Tamandua tetradactyla: one gene and its partners. The protein of the gene in region 3 purifies or fractionates together with the protein of the main gene of each other region. This does not show direct contact. Links are inferred from orthologs where the notes say so. Each region holds a gene or a part of one and is shown on either strand. Other genes may lie near its edges. The genes, in order: POMP, PSMA7 and PSMG1.

Region 1 (6,998 bases), on a different chromosome or scaffold from region 3:
CAACAGAAGTTTATTTAGGGGAAGGAAGGAAGGTGGGAAAGAATAGGACATGGTTGGGAACAACAGTTACATGAGTAGGATTTTTGTCATTATGATAAATTTCTTATTTAAACTTGCTAACTGTCCAACTGCCAAAAAGGAAAAAGGAATTTCCAAAAATGTACAAATTCTTTTAGAGATGTTTCAGAACAAAAGACTAATTTACATGAAAAACTGTAGAGAAAGTAGTTGAAAAGTCCATTCATAAAGCTTTTATTCTCTTTACATCAATACATGTGTTTTAACAATTATGCTTGGATTGACCAACAGCTTTTGCAAAGGAACTCAGCTACCTCCATTGTATTATCATTAACAAATTTTTCACTTCCTAGCAATCTGTTTTCTGCTCTCACCATTTTACTTCAGTTGCTCACCAGAGTATCATACACATGACATCCCCCTTGCCTAAGGCCATAGATTTTCTCTTAATTTCAAATTAAATACTTGCCATCATTGGTCATTCCTTTATCTTAATATTATACTTTCCTCGGCTGTAAGACAGATTCCTACCTCTTTTCTCCAAGCCTCTTTTACCTTGTCCCAGGTTCTAAGAGACACTTCTATATTAGACTTCAACATCTCTCTGTGTGTGCTGCCTGCAGGGCGCAGGGCACTGTGTCGTCCAAGCCAGCTTTAGAGGCTTGCACGCCCGGGGCCTGAGCTCAAGCAAAGGGCTGTGGTCTTGGGTGCAAGTGGCCAAAAGAGCCAAAAGTTAAGTGTAATTCCAAGTCTTTAGAGAGCACTAAAGGGCTGAGTGAAGAAACATAACTCAGGGACATGACTGAGGTGCACGAGTAGGATGCCAACAGGAGAGAGCAGAAAGAAACTAGGGAGAGTTAGAAGACGGGAGGAGGGTTTTTGCCAGCTGTGAAGGAAGCTGAGGTTTCCTTGGTTTGCCTATATGGGTCATCAGACTGGCTTAAGAATAAAGTCAGAGTAGGTAAGTAAAACAAAAAAGGGTACTTGCTCTCAAGCAATGCACACAAAGCTTGTTTCTTCTATACAACGTTGAATAACGGTAATGCTTCTCTGTGATGGTTAGTTTTGTGCGTCAACTTGGCTCGGTAAAGTTCCCAGTTATTCAAACACTGCTCAGGGTGTTTTTGTGAGGAATGTCGTAGATGTGCTTAGCATCTACGATCAGTTGACTTGAAGATTATTCTCTATAACGTGTGTGGGCCTCGTCCAGTCAGGTGAAACGCCTTAAAAGCACAATGAAGTTTCTCTGAAGGAGAAATCCCATCCCATAATTGCAGCGTTGACTTTTGCCCAAAGCTTCCAGGCTGCCGGCCTGCCCTACAGATTTCAGACTTGCCAGCCCCCAGGATGGCATGAACCACTTCTTTGAAATAAATCTCTTAATGTATCTATCTATCTATCTGTCTGTCTGTCCTGCAGATTCTGTCTTCTGGAGAACCCTGATGGGTACACTAGCTCATGGGGCAATTGGGGCCCAAGTGAAATGTGGTATGTAAATAACTAAGCACAGGGCCAGACACAGAACAGACATCAGCTATCGCTATTATTTAATTCCCCAAACTATGCAACAGCTAAAGCTTAAACACGGATACTAAACCATCCTAATATCAAATCCAATTCCCCTAGCTATTTAGTATACTCAGAACTGCCTTGCATTAGTTAATGCTAAAACAGACCTCTTTAAATAGGATGGGAATGTAGGACGTGCACTGCTCAAAGCAACTGTTTGTCCCTGCTGCTCTGGTCAACTGCCTTCATATTGGTCATCAAAGGCCTATTTTCAGGACTTACAAGCTCTTTTTGTGGTTGTCATTCAAATTTTACAGTGTCTTTTCTTCCTCATTTATTCATGACCTCCTTTTGACTACTTTTTAACTGCTTTCTAACTTCTCAAAACATTTTCCCTCTTTGGATTCTAAGATATCACTTTGGTTTGGCTTTTCCTTTCACTTCTCCCTACCTCTTCTTGGTCTCTTTGGAAGACCCTTTGAATTCTAGTATTTCTCAGGTTTATTCCTGTTTTTCACCTCAACTCAAAGCTTTTCCAATACCCTACTCTACCTTAATTTACTTCCATTATTTCTTGATCAGTCTATTATCAACAGCCTATAAAATGATCTGGTTCCTAGTTTCTCCCAATCCTAGTCTATCCCTCATGCTGCTTCCAGGATAATTTTTAAAATACATATTTTAAAATATGTGTAAATAAATATATATACAAATTTATATATATATGAAGTATTTGTGACTAGAATTCCATTATCTCCTGTTGCCCACAGGAGAAAAATCTAAATCCTCAGCATTCCATACAAGGCCCTTCATTTTGACCCAATCAATCTCTCCAACCTCATCTTTCTCCCTTCTACTCACCCAGAACTCCAACCACATGGAAATGTACTCCATTGCTTGGGTCACAATATGCCCTTTCACAAGTAACCTGCATTTTCATGTTTACTCTTCTTGCCATTTTCTCCTGTTTCCAACCAACTTTCCCCCCCAACCACTTTCTGAGCAAGCTCCCTTGTGTATGGCAGAATTTATCATATACCATCTTAAACATATTTACATTATCTATTCCCCCTGGAAAATTTAAGCACCTGAAATTTAGGGAAATGCCTTTTTCTCTTCTATAGCTCCAAAAATCTAGCACCAAACAAGTGTGCACAGATACTTACTGAATTGTGAGAAATCAAGTATTAAATGAATTTTTTTTAAGTTGCAATTTAAAAACTTCTCCTTAGGTGGACTAGATTGATAGGAAAAAGTTAAAACGAAACACTCAAGAGCAAATCTCAAGGTAAACAAGGATATCTTGAAGAGACAGAAGACACATAAGGAAGGTAAATGTGGACTACCCTATACTTTCAAGGTTGTATGACCATGGCAGTGGATATACATAATAAATATAATCTTATCACCGCTATTCATTCCCCTCCTTAAACTCTTTCAATGGCTTTTTTGAAGATAAAGCCTCATTCTACCAGGCCTCATCTCAGGTCACTCTCTACCTGAACTTTAGCCACACAGGTCTTCTTTTCCATCTCAGAGTTTTTGCACAAGTCGATCTTCCAGCAATATTCTTTCATACACCTTTCTACCTCAAACTAGCTTGTTCTCATCCTTAAGAATAAGGATTCTTTAAGTTACCTTCATTACATGCTGGCAGTGTACAAGGAGGAGTTATCACACCACATTTTGGAGATAATACAGTAGTGACTCACACCGCAGAACAGAGACTTGGGCTGGGTTCCTGGACATATATATTTAACCTCTTTATGGGTTGGTTTCCTCACCTGAAGAATTAAGATGTTGAAAAGATTATAGCAGATAATTCAGGGAAAGCAATTACAACTGTGCTAGGTCTGTACTAAGAGTCCAATATATGTCAGCAGTTTTCACATTTAAATGCTTGAACTGTCACTTCTCCCCCTAGAGTTCGTCTGCACCTCTGGCCCAGAGTACACTTCAGTCTGATTCATTTCTGTACTTCTAGCTTCAGCACAGGATCCTGACACTAGGGGGTTTTCGGTATACAATGATTAAAAATAAAACCTGTCAAAAGACTTGGGTCTCACTTCTGCTTTAACAGCTGACCGATGTTAAGCAAGTCACTCAACACACCCAAGACTGGATTACCCTTGGGTAAAACGAGAACTGCCGCGTCTCCCCTGGCGGGGCTCTGCCTTTACGGGTCTACAGCAGCAGAGCGCATCTGTAAACGCTGTAGCTTCGGTACATGTTTATCACCAACAGAGCTCAGGGCCGCGTTTACCCCCCGCCACCCCGCTTCGGCACGTCCCGTCCCAGCCCACCCCACCCCGCCCCGCCCTCAGCCCACAACCTCCCGGCGCCCTCGGCGCTGGTCCCTGGGGACCGCAGGCGTGGGAGCCCCGGCCGCGTGCCATTCCCTCCCGGCGCCCGCGCCCCGCTTCGTACCTCGCCCGGAAGGACGCACTTCCGGCGGATGTGAGGGGGGCGGGCCACGGAAACGGAAGTGAGCGGCGGGCCGGCTGACGGTAACGGGGCCGAGAGGCGGTGTGAACAGCGGGTTAAAGATGGTGAGTGGGCCCGCTGCTGCCCTGGCTCCTGGCGGCGTGGGGTTCAGGCCCCGCAGGATCCCGCGGCCGCCTCCCAGCCCGTCCCGCGCGGTGGTGGGGGGATGGGGCAGGCCTCGGGCGCCATAATCTGCCGAGTCACGGCGTTGGGGGAGGCCCGGGCGGCCCACGAGCTGGTCCCGCGAGCGGCGGGGTTCGGCTTTATGCCCTTCCCTCGCGCCTTCTCCCGGTCGCGCCTGCCGCGCTTCAGTTCCTCCAGCAGAAGCCGGCCACTTCCCCTTAGGTGGAAAGGGCGAGGCCGAAAGTGCAACAGCTTACCGGGGGTGACGTCGCTGACCACCCTTTCCCTGAGGGGATAACCTATGGGAGCCCTGAGACCTCAGACTCCCAACCCAGCCTTGGGCCCCTGCCCTGCAGCCGGAGTGGGAGGCAAAGGGCTTTGGTGTGATGAGCGTTTCGGAACTGCCTTGATAAATAACTGCACAACTGTAGGCCGCATTTGTGTAACTTCAGCTGCACATTTGTGAGGGCTTAGAGGATACCATCCGTGGTTCTTCCTGTTGAGAAGAAAAATCAAACAGTTGCTTCCCTCCCTTTGTCAGTGTCGTTAGTGCATCGCTCTCTTTAAACGGAAAACAAGGAGAAACTGAGAGACTTGACAGTTGTGACCTTTGGAAAAGACTCTTGAATTACCACTGCCACTGACTAATGTCAGTACTGTTGGGCCATCCAAATCTAGAACGCTTTTGTTAGTAAATGGTAATCGTTTTAAAGAAGTCTCAAATTGTGATTGATGGTACATAAATTTTCATACATTTGTTCTTTGCTAGTTTATTAGAAACAGCAGTACTGATATTTTATGGAAGGAAAATTGGAATAATGATAAGGTTAGAACCCAGAGACCAGAATTCCACTTTTCCTCTGTTATTTTACAATAAAGTGGTGTAGCAGGAAGAGAATGTTTATATAGGGAAGTAACAGATGCTTTGGGAAAGGTACAAACAGTTCTAGTCCTGAAGATGTTCACCTACGTGGTACTGATAAGTAAGTAAACGGTCCATTGAGATCATTTGAATTGCTTGCAGTCATTAGTATAGCCCACATTAGACTGCAGGCTAGATTTTTTTCCCCCTGATCCACCATGACTTCTTTGAAAGTTGAAATCTGTGAAGGTCCTTGAGTTGCAGGCTGAGGACTGTTCTTAAAGGCTTAATTCTTCAGACCAGACATTGAGCCAAGTACTGGTTTGGTATAGGGGAGGTTGTGTTTTAGGAAACCTTGATACATGGAAAGACCGAAGAAGCTAGAGGCGGCAAGACCCAGAAGCATGCTGTTGGAGTTACCCGAGTGTGAGACTCAAGTGGTAGATTGAGGAAACCTGAGACAGAATGAAGTGCCTGACCAAATACATATGCTAGTTAGTGGAGAAAACCCGTTTAAGCAAGCTGAGTTCTTTAAAATAGTGTAAGACTAAACCAATTATCTGCAGCTGTTTTACATTATTCTTCAGAATTGCCAGGTGTATTGCACTTGAACGAGTAATTTAAAGTCAACATTTGTACTTTACTTGTTCTAACACTTAATCACATTTTATTTGCTTATTTAATGTATCTCCGTTAGGCTAAACCCTAGGAGATAGACTTGTATTTTCTGCACCTAGCATAATACTTGACACATAATGGTAGAGGCATAATAAATACTTTTTAATGAAAGTTTCACACTATGAATGCACAGGATGACAAGACATCAGTACCAAATGCACTGTGAGTCTTTTGCTTTTTTTTTTGTTTGTTTTATACTTTTATCCTGATTAGATATATATATATATTTTTTATAGGTGGTACCCTCCTCTTCTAGAAACCAAATTTTCTGAAATTCTTTGTTAGCTTCTGTCACCACTTTCTTTTAGCTATTGTCCATTGTTAAGCCATTTCACTGTTCTCCTTCCTTGTCCCTAAGGAGTGGTTTTCCTCAACTTTCTTCATTCTGTGCTAATCATTCTCCATAGACAACCTAGGGAAGAAATCTTTCTGAAGAAAGCAAATTTGATCATGCCATAACCCTTCAGAGGTGCTCTTTCAACTTCAGAATAAAACTCAATTTCTTTGCATGTAAGCTTTTCACTTTCTAACCTTTACTTCTGCTTCTTTCATACATGTGTTTAGTCAGTCATTTCAGACTACTTGTAGGTTATTCATTTGTTTTCATATCTTTGTATATGTTCTTTCTTTTTTCCTGCTTCAGAGATTATCCCAAGACCTTTTCCCAACTCCATCCCCACCCCAAAACTTGGTATAATATTGTATCCCTCTAGTGTAATACTTAAGGCGTATCATTTTCCAGACTGTTTGAGAGCGGAGGCCCTGTCATTTCTCTCTCTCCAGTGTTCAGTTTTTTTTACATAAGTATTATGTGTGCGGTTTGTTTTTGTTTTTGTTTTTAATTAGTGAATGGTTTAATGGTGTTTCTTTGTGTTGTAGAATGCCAGAGGACTTGGATCTCAGCTAAAGGACAGTATTCCAGTTACTGAACTTTCAGCAAGTGGCCCTTTTGAAAGTCAAGATCTTCTTCGGAAAGGGTAAATGGGAGTTTTGACATTTACTTTGTTGGTAGTAAAATGTTTTTGTGAATTATTTTTTACAGTATTCTTTAAATATTTTGATATGCCATAAGTGTATATTTAATTTGGGAGATATTAAGTAATATACCTTGGCTCTGGGGCGGGGCTGTTGGGGAAGAGTCTTAGATCTGTAGTGCAAGAAGCATCTTAACAGAGTTGTGGTTAGGAACCCTCTTAGGTTAAGTACCCGGTAGTGTGATTTGGCGGGGTTCTTGTTTTGGTAACTGATAACTTGGAGAGCCAACTACTTCCTTCTTGCAGGAAGGATTGCAGCAAGTTCTTCTCTTTGAAACACACCAAGGCAT
Region 2 (7,045 bases), on a different chromosome or scaffold from region 3:
GGGTGGGTAAGGGTCGGAGCCAGCAGCTTTGGAAAGAAGGGAGACAAGATGGGGAACGGCATCTTTATCCGAATGCATCAAGGGGCTCCCAAGGATCTGGGTAACCGGCCAGAGTATCTGCTTTGGAAGAGCCCCAGCAGGACACGTTGCCAGGTTTTTTGGGCAGGAGGGAACAGAGGCCTGGCTGTGGCTGTTCCCTCCTGGAGAACACCCTTCCCACCACAGCCCCACATGCACAAGCTGTAGTCAGAGCCTCTGCAGAGCTGAGGTTCAAGTGCAATCGATGGCTGTGACAAGCAGACCCCTGACTGTGTGGCATTTCACAGCACAGCAAGACCAGAGAAGCCACCTAGGGCAGTCCAGCCCCACGGCACCTGGAACCATAGGTGGCTGTGCTTCCCTTCCCCAGGAGGGCCTCGGCTTACTGGGGATCAAGCGCGTCAGTAATAACCACCTAAGAACTATCAATTAGCCACGTTAATAGGAGGCCGCACAGCGCGGAGAGTCCCTCGGACCATTTACAGTTGCCAAAAACAGCTCTAATGTCATAAACAGTTAATTTATCTTCCTAACAAATTAGCCCACGTTCTTTAAGACAGCAGACTCCTGGTCTAGAGAGCACAAGGTACCAACCACTGTGCAGACACGCACCCCGTGCCTAGACACATCCACCCATCACTTACTTACCCATCCCTTGGCCAGATGGCCATCTCTTACCCTTGCATCCCTCACCGGGAATGGGAGCCATTGGAGCAGGGCTAGTCTGAGTTCAACCACTCCCCGACTGGGCTCCCAGGCCCCAGGCCTCTCCAGCTTCACATCCCTCTACCAGGCCCATACCACAAGTTGGCCCAGCTCATCAGCTCTGCCCTGTTCTCCAGAGAGCTGCTGCTCTGTATCTCCCCACTGCACCATGAACAGTAATGATAACTTACACTGAGAAGTTCCCGTGTGCCTGGGGGCAGGAAGCACCTTGCAAACCCAATGAGATCCAGGCCCCCTCCCCTCCAGGTACCCAAGCCTTTTCACAACCCCACATAACCATGGCATCAGGGGCCTCAGAGCAGGGATACTTGGGTTCTGAGTTGGTGGAAAGCAAAGGAGGGCAGGTCTTGGCCAGGGAGTCAGTCACTCAGGTACAGGGGACAGTGGAGTGTCCCTGGAAAGTGGGGTCCTCTGTGATTTGGTGTTTCTCATCAAAGTGCACTGCATCTCACTCCTGTACTTAACCACGTGCTTGGCCGCATATGGGGCCACACAAGACTCCCTCAAACTTCTAGACCTCCCATGTCTGCTCCTTTGGTTATTCTCATCTGGAATACCTTCCCCTCCACATGTCCATCAATCCCCAAATACTCCCACTGGCAGAACCACAGTCAGAGATTCTGTATATTCTGACATTGACTGTCCAAGTGCCAGGCCAGGCTGGGAGTACAGCAAAGAATAACTCAGTAAACTTGCCTGGGAGCCTAAGCAAGGTGTGAAAGACCTATATTGACCACATACACTGACATACGACTGAGGGGATATGTGAGTGGGGCTTTGAAGATTGAGTAGAAGTTTGCCCAGAAGAATTCTTTCTCAGATAAGCTCTAAGAACAAGTTGTATTTCCCTGCCTCTTTATCATCACACAGGTTTCTGAGGAACCCCTGGCTTTTCCCAACACCCTTGGGATGAGTTTCTAGCACATGCTGTGTACACAGCACACATCAGTATATACTATGCACCTGCCACATGCCCCCAATAAAAGACCTGAGTACATATATTTACTGTCAAAATGCCAAGGTGTGAGGATATAGACTGCTGGCCCTACCAGGTAAGGCCTGCTGGAAGCCCGAACTGAAGACCCATTTTCAACAAGTAGCAGGCTATCTCTGCCCTGGGATGCAGGGTCAGCAGGTTTTCCTTCCTTCTGATCAAACCACATTTAGGGATAGCTGCATAATGCACTCCTGCCTAGAAATTTTGGAGAGCTTTAGTGCTGGCTTGGCAACGTGCAAATAATTGGGTGATTGTGAGCCCAAGGTGGCTTCAGGAATAAGGATCAAGCTCATCACACTTAAGGCCCAAGCAAGGGCCCCTGGTCTGCTAGCAGGGCCTTGAGGCCAGTGCCTGACCCTCTGCCAGACACATTGTCACTGTCAGAGCAGACCTTGGAACCAACTCCCAGCTCCACTTAACCTCTCTCTGCCTCAGATTCCTCATCTATAAATTGGGGTAACAGCGACTACCCCCCTCTGCAAATTAAATGAGTTAAGATTGACCACTCTTATGACAATAACTGGGTACACAATTTAACTAAACCCAATTCTCTGCTGCTGCTCCAGTCAGCTGTTTCTTGTTCAGAGTGGGTTGAGACTCTTTATTAAAACCATTAAGGGCCATGGGACAGTGGCTCAAGGGCAGAATTCTCACCTGTCACGCTGGAGACCCGGGTTCGATTCCCGGTGCCTACCCAGGTCAAAAAAAAAAAAAAGAGGAAAACCATTAAACACCAGCACCAACCAGAGCAAGGTGAACCCTAGCAGGTGACAGGTTAAGGACAATTTCCTCAAAGGACTGGGCAGATCGTCCAGGGAAGACAGAGCCACAGTGTGGAAAAGAAGTCAGCGAAGCTACCCAAGACGTTAGGAAAATTCAGGAATGCTCAACGGTGGTTTTCCGCTAAACCTGCCTTCTAAAGAGAAATGGTAGGACATGCAACGTTTCACCGTCAAAACTGAAGGTTTCTGTTGACAAAGTGCTGGTGAAAGGTGTCCCCCAATGCAGGTGATGCTAGCTCCAGAAACCACATTACCAAACTCAGAGAGAAGGGAAACGATGCGAAGCAGATCTGAACATTTCTGTGGCGAGAGTGGCTGCTGGCCCGGGTGTCGCGCTGAAAATCAGCCCGACCTGCGACGAAGAGCCGGCGACTCGCGGGTCAGCCATCGAGCCCCTGGGGCGGCCCGGCCTCACGGGGGACCCACCCCTGGGTGATCCAAGGGTCGGCACCTGGAGGAGGCGGGCGGGGCGCGACCACCCGGGGTTGTCCCCGCCCTGCCCGCTGAGGTGTGCGCCGCGGAGAGTGGCGCCCGCCGCCGTCCTCGCCATCCAGGCTGGCAGCGTAACTAGACGAGCCCGCGCCCCGGGGCCCCGAGGGGCGGCGGGGAACCCACAGCCTCTCACCCAACCCAGGCATCCCCCGCCGGTCGCTCGGGCCCCTGCCACTCGGACAGCCCCCAACAAAGTTGGCCCGGGCTCGGCGCGCGCGGCTCCGGAAGCGCCCCTGAGGGCACGGCTCGGTGCCCCCGGCGGCCCGGCTGCACACCGCGCTTTGTTCCCGCCGCCCTCCCGCGTCCCGGCACTCGTGCGCACTCGCCAGCACCTGCGGGGCGCCCCACGCCCACCTTCTGGATGGTCTGCTGTGTGACCTCCCCTTTCCCCCTCGGCCGGGCGGACGCGAAAGCCACGGACATGTCGACGGCGCGGGGCTCAGGCCTTAATCATGAGGGGCTTATTCTCCGGCTGCGCTCCGCGGCCGAGGGCTCTCATTCTCCGCAGTCGGTGGGGGGGCGGAGGGGAGGGCGCGGGGGGTGCCGCATCGTGGGCTCGCCCACCCCGACGCCGCCTCCGCACCCTCCGGCCCTCCGGCCCGCGGGCCCTCGCGCCGGCTACGGCAGAGCCCGAGCCCCGCGGTGCGATCCCCAACAACAGCCCAGCACGCCTCGCCCCCACCACCGTCACTGACTGCCCCACCCCCGGCCGGGCCGCAGTGGTTTGTTCCGACCCCGGCGCGGGAGCGCGCCGCACGCCGCCTTACGCCAGCAGCGTAGGGTGCCGGCCGTGTAAAGCAGCGTACGGCGCCAGTAGCGTAAGGTGCCAGCCGCGTACAGCACTAGCAGCGTAAGACGCGAGCAGCGTAGGGCGCCCCCAGCGTAGAGCAGCGTAGGCCGCGAGGGGGCCGGCGGCGGCGGCGGCGCAGTGGCGTCGGGAATCGCGCGGTGCGCAGCGATGAGTGTGCGCTTTTGAGGCGGTGGCGGCCACAGCTCTCCGTCAGCCAGGCTGCGGCCGCGCCTCCGGCCATGAGCTACGACCGCGCCATCACCGTCTTCTCGCCCGACGGCCACCTCTTCCAAGTGGAGTACGCTCAGGAAGCCGTCAAGAAGGGCTCGACCGCGGTGAGGCGGCACCCGGCGGGGTTGGCGGGAGCCCGGGTCCGGGCCTTGCGCGAGGCCGGGGATCCGGGCGGAAGTGGAGCTGGCTGGCCGGCGGCGGGGAGGGCCGGGCTGCCCCTGGGTCGTCGTCGGGAAGGTGCGCGCCCCGGAACAAGCAGGGAGGCCGGGGGACCTGGGGTCATGCCCGGGGGTGGGCGCCCTGGACCCCGCCGCCAGGGCTGCTGTGTTCCCGCGCGTTTCCGTGCTGTGGCCCGCGGTTCCGTGTTGCCGTTTGCGGCGCAGTGTCTCGGAGCCCAGGCTTGGGGCGCCGGCTGCGCGTGTCCGAGCAGGACCTGTGGTAGTGCCGGGGGCGCGGGCGAGCGGCCCAGCCCCGAGCCGCCTTCCCCCTGGCCGCAGAGCGTGTGTTCTCAGTGGGCCCCGGCATGCGTCGCTCGAGTCGCTCTGTCGACCGCCTCGCCTTCGCCTAGGGAGCAGCCTCTTGGTAAATTGCCTCTTAAAGTCAGCGCAGTGACATCAGCGGAGCGCCCGGGGAAGGCACGGCGGCGTCGGTGTCCTTAGACAAACTGGGGAAGTCCTCGTGACCTGCTGTCCCGCTGGGGAAGTGTCGGTGTCGCTTTCTTCTGTTTGCACAGAAAAGCAGAACACGCGCACTGTGTGGGGCCGTTTATTCCCTATAGTTTGGGCTTGGGGCGGCAAGGTGGGCCGTTGAATTTTAATTTGAAGGTCATAAACTGTAGATGTTTACTAGTGGTTTTCAGAAACCGCAGAGGTCCCCGAGAGAAGTGCAGGATTCAAAGTCACTCTCGTCTCTCTTTAGCATCTTTGGTTGTCAGGGTGCACTGTCCCTAGCGCGGCGAGGTGACGCGGTGACGGCCATCTTGGGCCTTCACCTTTGCACTCTGCAGGCCGAGGGAACCTGGGGTGCAGGGATGGTATGTGTGGGTGCTGATGCACGGCGGAGCAACAAGAGAGCTGGGGAGTGTTACAGGTCTTTCCCCACCCGGGGGAAAGGAGAGGGAGGCAGTGGTCCTCATAGGTGGCAGGGCAGGCTGTCCTGGGTCCGAGGCTCAGCAGTGATCCAACCCCTTGTCACTTCATATCTGAGCAGGTACCTCTTGCCAGAACTATCGCGCATGTTGGGTACCCTTGGTGTTGCTGTTTGCAGTTTACACCCATGGTGTCTTTGAGATAGTTGTCTGTTTTCTCATTGGTCAGATTGCATGATAGATTTTTTTTTTTTAATCACCTGGTATTTGAGGGGTTTCAGTGGGTCAAGCAAAGCCACAGCTGGCTGCTGGGGCAGCAAGGGGAGTGGGGATGGGGGGCGGGACAGCCGACTCCTCTCCCAGTGCTGTATAAGTTGAGTTAGGCCAGCAGATAGACCTGGAGCCTGAGTTTCAAGACAACCAAAAATTCAAGAAATGAAAACACTTCAAAAATTCACAGAACTATGTGTGAAAGCTGTGGCTTTGCTTAACCCACCGAGCTCTCTGGGCCTGGGCTTCTTTCCCTCACCATTACTTTGAAGATCATGTAAGACAGAACAAGAGAAAGCCCTTGGAAACTCAAACACATTTTCAGTCAGTGGCGATTTAGGCAGAGGTTATTTGGCAGCGTTTGGAGACGTTTTTGGTGGTCAGGTCTCAGGAGGGGGGTGCTCCTGACATCTTGTGGGTGGCAGCCAGGGGTGCTGCTAGACATCCCACAGTGCCCAGGACGCCCCACAACTGAGAATTACATGCCCTAAAATGCCCATCCTGCAGAGGCTGAGAGACCATGCTCCATGCTCTGAAGTAAGAGGGGATTTTACTTCTCCAACTGTGCCATACATGTCTGTTCCTGTCTTGACTGGAGGGGTTAACTGGCCATCGGTGTTTTTTTGTTTTTTTAATAATGGCCACACCAATTGTCTCCTCTAAAGTGTCAGCTGTGAAAGGGGAGAGTTTGACCTCCCAGTAAATGCTGATACAGTCATCCCTCCATGAAAAGCGGCCCCTCACACAGCTGTGTGCCTTGGCTATTCAGGCACAGAAAAGAGGGGTGGGGGAATAACTCCACAGCTCCAGAAAACACCGCTTCCAGAATACCTGGCTTGAATATCTGGGTCTGGGGCTTAAAGGCCCTCTGCTTTGCTGGTTCATTAGTGTGAAATGATACAGGGTTACAGATTATATGGTGCTTAGTTAGTTATGCTGCCATTGGAACTACATAATGGTCTTTTAAAGGCACAGACAGCATCAGGCACTTTAGGTCAGGATACCTGTGCTGGTTCCACCAGTGACATTTGGGGTGTAATGTCAGCCAATGGAGGAGGGAGGTGCTCCCCCACCTTCTGGGGCTGCTTTCCCCAGGATGTCTGTGATCTATGTTAATGTCTTCTGCTCTTAGTGTTTCTTTGTGTAGGGGCAGAGCCTTATGTTGCTTTCTTAAGTGGTGTGTTGGCTCTCATTGAAGGTTGGTGTTCGAGGAAAAGATATCGTTGTTCTTGGTGTGGAGAAGAAATCAGTGGCCAAACTGCAGGATGAGAGAACGGTGCGGAAGATCTGTGCGCTAGATGACAACGTCTGCATGGCATTTGCAGGTATGTGTCTGGGAACAGTATTCTGCTTCTTAGAGTCCTAGCACAGAGCAGAGCAGTGGAGTCCAGCTTGGGTGGATGGGTTATTACAAGACGGGGGAAGCTGAAAACATTTAAAAGAAATTATTTGGAGGGTACACGGATGGTTACGTGGAAGAATGCTCACTTTCCATGCAGGAGACTTGGGTTCAATTCCTGGACCAGGCATCCCCACTGCCTCCCCCCCGGCCCTGAATAAAAAAGAAAAGAAATTATTTGGAACTGTAAAAAGAGCTGGCCAGAATTTCTTTGGGCCCCTCTCTCAAGTGG
Region 3 (7,466 bases):
GATGTAAATGAAAGACAGCTCAAGAGACAAAACCTCTAAATGTCATGTGTGCTTCCTGTTAGGAATCTGATTCACACAAACCCACTGTAATATGTCATATTTGAGACAACTATCTAAACTGGACCATGGACTATTAGATGCTATCAAAAACATACTGCTAACATCTTCAAGATCTAGTAATAGGAGGTACCTTCTTAAATTTTACACCTAAAGCACAGGAAGTAAAAGAATACACAGACAAATGGGAATTCCTTAAGATCAAGAGCTTCTGTGCCTCAAAGAACTGTGTCAAAAAAGGTGAAGAGGCAGCCAACTCAATGGGAGAAAATATTTGGAAACTACACATTGGATAAAGGCTTGATATCCTGGCTCAACAACAGAACAAACAATCCAATTATAAAATGGGCAGAGATATGAATAGACATTTTCTGAAGAGCAAATACAGATGAAGAGATGATCATTTCATTAGCTAAAAGGGTAATGCAAATTAAGACAATGAGATATCACCTCCTACCTCTGAGAATAGCTGCTATTAAACAGAAAACTACAACTGTTGGAAAGATGTGGAGAAATCGAAACACCTATTCACCATTGGTAGGAACGTATAATGGCACAGCCGTTGTGGAAGACAGTTTGGTGAGTCCTCATAAAAAATAAATATTGAGTTAACCTATGACCCAGCAATACCAATACTCAGTACATATCCAGAAGAACTGAGGTCAGTGACATGAACAGACATTTGCACAACTATGTTCATAGCAGCATTATTCACAATCACCAAAAAATGGATGCAATCCAAGTGCCCATTAACAGACAAGTGAATAAACAAAACAAAATGTGGTATATACATATGATGGACTATTAAGCAGCAGTAAAACAACATGAGGTCTACAGCATATGACCATATGGATGGACCTTGAGGACATAATACTGAGTGAAATAAGCCACACACAAAAGCATACTGGATGCGTTTGCCATCATGAATCTGGTAAAGGTAATCTCAGAGGTTACACTGTAGAATTTATAGCAGATCTAGAGGTACACAAAAGCTAGAGACAGAGGAGAGGCTACCCAAAGAAACTGAATCTAAATGCAAGGGAATGGATTGAAGTGATGGTACCTAACTGGTGGGGTTCTAAGCAACACTGCCATACTGAAGGTGAATATGATTGAAAGGGGATGTATAGTGCCATGTGATTAAATCTACAATTATAAATAAGTTCTTGCATGAACTATTTTGGTGGTTCGGCAGTGAACAAAGTTAGTAGAGGGATATGGGGGAAAACTAAAAATGCATACTATGGCCAATAGTTAACAGAACAGTACCACAACACTAATGGGGCAATTAATTGGGGGGCAGAGACAAGTGATAAGGGGTAGTTTTGATTTGATAGTTGGTGGCATTGTGTTTGCTGGTTCTTTGCTATATGAACCATTGAAAACTGTCGAAAATTGAGAGTGCTGCTGATTGTACAACCAAGCGAGGATACTGTGAGACATGGCTGTTCACTGTGGACATTATCTATAATGCCCAACACAAAGGATACAATGACAGAAAAGCACAATGGCGAATGATGGTCATTTATATGGTGGACTATGATGCAGCTACAAAAAGGAAGGCTGTTGAGAGGCACGCAATGAACTCAATAAATGTTGGGGACAATATGTTGTCCAAAATAAGCCAGAAACAAAAGAAGAAATATGCTAAGATCTCTCTCAGAAAATACTTATAAAAAAATGGTAGCCTAGACTGTAAGCCCTTATAGCAGACACACTTAGTCTGAAGTTGTAGATGTATTTCTAGATTCTGAGACACTGAGTTATGTGTGTACCAGCAGGTAGTTCCCTGGATCTACGAGTAACTTGGTGATATCTAAGACCCAGAAATGGAGTGCTACAGCTCTGAGAGTCAGCATGGCTATATGCAATACAGCTAAAGTAACTGAAAAAGATATCAGGCCTCAATTAGAGTTTACAAGGAAGCCGATCTGGCTGGGTCTAAGGTAAATTAGAATGCAGGGTAACAGATAACAGCATATGTACGCTAGGCTTCCATCTAATGTATGAGACCAAAGGCAGAGAGGTTTATTACGTCTAGAACCTAAATTTCCTGTAATACACAATCTAAATCAACCTGTCTAGACAGCTCATTTAAACAACCCAAACTCCTGAACAGGAACAAAGCCTTGTAATTCTGTATAGCTTAATATAATATAATAACTGGATACATTTCAGACTATGGTGGACTGATAAAGATTACTGGTAGAGTCCCTTGATGGTCCAAAGGGGAAAATACATACATACATACATACATACATACATACATACAAACATACATACACACATACATATTTTCCATAGGTTAACTATTGAACTATCCCATTTGGAAAAACCCCAGGTACCCTCTCAACTACTGGGGACTCCCAAGAAAATAGGACAAATCCTTGGTTTTGAGACTTGCCCTTATGAAACTTATTTCTGTAGGAGGCCTAAGAGTTCTTTCCAGGAAACCTCTTTTGTTGCTCAGACGTGTCCTCTCTCGCTCTCTCTCTCTAAGCCCAATACTGCAAGGAAAATCGCTACCCTCCCCTATGCGTGGGGCATGACAACGTGGGCTACATACAGCAAAGGCAACGGAACCTGGAGGCCGCCCCGCGGGCTCCTGGCAAACATCGCCTCAACAACCCAGGCTCGCACCAGGTGCAGGATCGCAGATCACATGGGGCTACAACCGGAGTTTCAACCTAGGTCTCTGCCTGCAAAGACCTTGCGCCCCTCCCTCACTAGGCTCGGTCAGGGCGGGAACTAAACGCGCTTCCCGCACGCGGGGAAACCCGGCACCCGCGGCCTGCCCGGCCCAGCGCGCTGCCCCGAGAATTCCCGAGCCCAGGACCGCACCTCTTCCGCGACAGGTGCTGCCGGACCTCCCTGTCCTCGGGCGACTCCCTCCTCCTCTCCTCTTCCTCATCGTCGTCCTCCGTTCCGGCTCGGCACGGCGCCTTCACTACCTCCCCGAAGAACGTAGCCGCCATAGCCCGTCACCGGCCGGCCCCGCCCATCTGCGGCGCCACGGGACTGCGCACGCGCCCCGGCGCCCCGCCCACTGCCCCACGCGACACTTGACCTCCGGGTCGCGCTAGGGCGGAAACCCGAGGCTGTTTCTCCGGCTGCCGGGTCCCAGCGGGAAGTCGGGGGAATGAGAGGACTACCCGAAACGAGCTGAGGGCGAGCGCAGGGCCAGGGCCCGCGGGGGCCGGGCCGGCGCGTGGCTGAGTGGAACGGGACCTCTTTGTTTTCGGAGGTCGCGGACTCGGGGAACAGAGGCGCTGGGCCGCCCTTTCCCCAGGCTGTACATTTCAGGGACGGGGCCCGCCTTTCCTCCAACCCGTTTCAGTTTACTTCTCGGTCATGAGTGAGACAGGTGAATTAAAATTATTAAGCACCCGGCTCCGAACCTAGGCCGCGCCCAGCTTAATGCTGGCCCATCGTTCCGAGGCTCGGGGGTCTAAGGTCTGGAAGAGGACGCCCACCGGGGGCGGGCACCCGGCGCCCCGGACCGTCAGGTACTGCCCTGCGCCTGTGTGGGCGGCGAGGAGCATGCACGGCACAGCGGACAGAACGGAGGAAGGGCAGAAAAAAAATACAGTGCTTCGTGGTGTTATGAAAATGAAACTTTACTCTGGCGGTAGGAATTCACATTTCAAAAGCTGATGATTGTTCAGCTGACCTAAAAGACTTTTTCTTAAGAGTGCAAAAATAGTTGCTTCCTTTTTTAAACTTGGCCGTTTCTAACTAATATAAAATTAGTTTTTCTTTTAAGTAGCCTTTCATTAGTGAGCAAAATATGTTAAATACGATTTTTACTGGGCTCTCTTCCTTAAAAGGTGCTGGAAAACAAAGTTTGCAGAGCACTATTTCAAGCAGGAGAAAAAGGAACTAGCATAGTTCCTAGATTTAGTTGTGCTGAAAACAGACAGCATCGTTTGCGTTTTGTCCCCTTGTCAATAAATAGCCACAAGTTACGACTACTTCGGGGTCTGGGTGAGCATCTTTTTTTTTGTTTGTTTGTTTAATGACAAACGCTCAAAGTTAATAGAAACATCGGTTCTAAATGGAAATAACTTGGCCTACTAAAGATTTTGAGAAATGATAATCAGCAAAAGTGTTTACATAGAATCAGTATTTAGCAATTTTGCACAACTATTTCAAAAAAACGTTTGTGTTTTGAAGCAACATTTAAACATTTAAGTATAAAGTAGTAAAACCAAATTGTTATCCAGCAAGAGCTTAGGAAGGTTTGGGTATCCTTAGTGAGATAGACTATACAGAATTACCAATATAGTATTTTAAAAAACACATTAGGATTCCTGGATTAGGTGAGCTTATAGAATGATTGAATTGCAGAATATAAAGAGTGGGCTTCACTCCATTTTAGACCTTTTGTTGAAAAAATAATTTGTCATGTTTTTACCAGTAAAATCCCCAATTTGATTCCACGATTAAATTATGTAGAAAAATTTTCTGGAAAGCTGGTTTAAATTATTGTAAATAGGGTAATGTTAATACATTTGGCCCTGATTTCAATTCTGCATACATACTTGTAAGAATGTTGTTTTAAATAAATGCTTATTACATGCAGTAACAAATTTAGGCCAAGCATTAAAAAAGGCAAATGTATGTACAAACTAAATATTAAACTAAAAAAGAAATACACTATGAAAAGCGGCTTATGAATACAATCTCAAAAACTGACATAAATTAATTTTGCCATGGTAAATAATAAATTCAAAGTTCAGATTCTTCTATAACACTGACATTGTTCAAGTTTTGCGTAAAATAGACAAATATTTTCATTATATGGTTGGTATCTGTTGAGATTATGCTATACCCAATAAAAGTTTTCTATGAAATTAAGTATAAGTATGGGAATAATTTATACTTTTCATTAGAGCTCAAAACCCAACCCCCCATTCACTCAAAAATACTTAATTTATTAGCAATTCTTCCCTTCTTCATTTGTATGTTCACAAGATACTGGTATAAGTATTTCAGATGAAGGGATACTGCAAACAGAGCAAAGGACACAGACTTTGTGGGTTAGAAATATGCTGGTTTATGCTAACAGGAAAAAAGACTTTTTTTTAACACACATGAAACCACAAATTTCTCAAGTAACCTAGAATCTTGGTCCATCTGTATAATCAAAAAATATGCATTCATTTTTTTTGATAAAAATGGAATAGAAACTCCTAGGTTTCTATATTTTACTTTTTCAAATTTATACATGCAAATCATATATTAATATTCACAGATATTTTGAAATGGGAAAACAACTTGGTCCTAACAATTTAGTTTTCCAATAGCATATTACTATGTTGAGATTTGACAGTACACTCATTTAACTTGGCGACCTTGATTTCAACAAACACTTATTAACAACAAATTAAACTTCACTGCAGAGAAATTCTTTGTAATATCATGACCAGATTTGATAATCCTGTGAAGGCCACAATGAAATAGCCTAGACATGCTGTCACGAAAGTCTGTTGTAATGGGATTGTGATCAAGTTTTTTCAAGTTTTGACTTTTAAGGTGCTAAGCTAACATGTCCAAAAAGAAACATGATAGGGCTTCATTGTATCATCTAAAATATTACTTTTTTGGTGTTAATCTCTACTTTTTACTTTTGATTAAAATTAAGACCTGCCTCTTAATGAGGTACATTTTGGTATCTCTTTAAAAACATGGAAAAAGAAATAAGGAAAAGAGTTGTGATAGTCACATTCATAGCTTTCATAGAAAAATATATATTCCCTGAATTAGTCATAGCAAGTGGTCATCATTCAGTATGAATTCCAATATTATAAACAAAATAAGACATTAATGGGTTTTCTATAATTGCCTATTTCCAACACTACTTTATCACTCAATTATCAACATCCTCATCTTTGAATCCATTGGTCCCTTCTAGTTTAAAGTTCTTGTTTCTGACTTTTGGGGATGTGGATTACAGGCTGAGTTTAGCTAAGGTATTTGCTTCGTTCAAAAGCAAATAGGCTCAATGGCATTTCCTGTTAAAATGTGCCTCTCAATTTTCTTTTTCTCTGATTTCAGCAATGACACCTTAGTTACCTGGATTTTCATATTCTAATGCACATCCCTTAAAATTAGCATCAGGCTGAGATATTTTTTCCATCTTGAAGTGTTTTCCTACATATTCTGTACACTTTTCCATTATTTTCTTTCTCTAAGGAATCAAGATTGATTTCTCCAAGACCCTTGATTTCTAGAAAGGAATGGTAATCTTAAAGGCCACTTTTCACCTCTCCAACTACAGGCTCCACACTCTATTTCCTCCTTAGCATTCTCTGGAGTAGTCTATAAAAGGGCTGGCTGGAGGAAGCCTTTCTCCCACTTTGACCCACTGAATTATGGCTTTTAGAAAATTCCTCAAAAGATACCAGCAAGGGATTTACTTAAAACTAGAAGCAGAATGCAACTGCCAGCTAATATTTGTAGCCCCTGTTTGTTTTCAGATTCCACTTCTACATTTTCAGTCACTATTGTGCTTTTTCTTTCCAGGATCTGAACCGCCTTAAAAAAAGCATTTTGCTATTAATATCTTCTAGCTCTTTTTCACTTTCAAAATTTATGTTTGCATCATCCTCTTTATAAACATTCAGTAATTTTTTCTTAGCCACAGCAGCAGCATTTCGATGGGGCAGTTTTCTGCTACTCTTCCTAATACATACATTTTCTGGTCCTGAAATAGTTTCTTTTACATTACTCATTATCTTTATTTTATTTGCAGCAACAGTAGCACATCTGCGGGGAATTTTCTCAGGTACCATTTTTGCTTTCAGAGTTTCACTAGGCATTTGCACTGCGTCCTTCTGATTATGCATACATGTTCTCATTTTTGTATTGGGTTCTCTGTCTCTAGGAACAGATTCTGAAAAATGAGTGAAAATTCATGTAAATGTAAAAATCTTGTTACACAAGATGTTACTACTAGTTACATTCCTCAACAGTACTCACATTCCTAAACAATAAATGTTAAAACATAATTAGACAATCATCATTGATACTACACATTTGGGACACTGAAATAATATTCCATTTACTTATCTATAAGAACAAGCCCTGGGTTAGAAGCTGTTTGATGTCCCTCCCAACTAACCTACGTTTTAAACTGTAAGGGTAACTGTCACCTCAAACAGTAGCAGACATGTAAGTATCTTAAGCATCTTAAAGCAGGTAATCTAAAAGCACTATTAAAAATTTGAATTTTAAAAAGTAATAGAACCATATATAGGTTTTAGATTTGGGGGCGATTTCTAACCGTGTTAAGCAACTTTAAAATACTGGGAGTTCTGAAACAATTTTCCTAGAACCTAAAGAAGAAAATGCCAGCATTTTGATGAGTGTTGATGACAGCAACAGCTCTGGCTTCAAGAAGATTTCTT

The links.
Region 1: the proteins of PSMG1 (region 3) and POMP purify together in Homo sapiens (affinity purification with mass spectrometry; 4 studies listed by BioGRID and IntAct, with this or other methods). This does not show direct contact. The link is inferred for Tamandua tetradactyla from reciprocal best matches to the Homo sapiens genes PSMG1 and POMP.
Region 2: the proteins of PSMG1 (region 3) and PSMA7 purify together in Homo sapiens (affinity purification with mass spectrometry; 3 studies listed by BioGRID and IntAct, with this or other methods). This does not show direct contact. The link is inferred for Tamandua tetradactyla from reciprocal best matches to the Homo sapiens genes PSMG1 and PSMA7.

What each region holds. Positions count from the first base shown.
Region 1 is NC_135330.1:193,920,267-193,927,264, forward strand, and holds the start of POMP (proteasome maturation protein), read left to right. Parts: upstream 1-3,960; 5' UTR 3,961-4,073; coding exon 4,074-4,076; exon of another isoform or gene 4,077-4,117; intron 4,118-6,553; coding exon 6,554-6,651; intron 6,652-6,998. UniProt on the Homo sapiens protein: Molecular chaperone essential for the assembly of standard proteasomes and immunoproteasomes. Degraded after completion of proteasome maturation. Mediates the association of 20S preproteasome with the endoplasmic reticulum.
Region 2 is NC_135327.1:59,722,360-59,729,404, reverse strand, and holds the start of PSMA7 (proteasome subunit alpha type-7), read left to right. Parts: upstream 1-3,954; 5' UTR 3,955-4,065; coding exon 4,066-4,161; intron 4,162-6,612; coding exon 6,613-6,739; intron 6,740-7,045. Other genes in the region: SS18L1 (calcium-responsive transactivator), read right to left, coding at 3,391-3,459.
Region 3 is NC_135336.1:102,646,916-102,654,381, reverse strand, and holds the start of PSMG1 (proteasome assembly chaperone 1), read right to left. Parts: upstream 3,085-7,466; 5' UTR 3,033-3,084; coding exon 2,899-3,032; intron 1-2,898. Other genes in the region: BRWD1 (bromodomain and WD repeat-containing protein 1), read right to left, coding at 6,561-6,952. UniProt on the Homo sapiens protein: Chaperone protein which promotes assembly of the 20S proteasome as part of a heterodimer with PSMG2.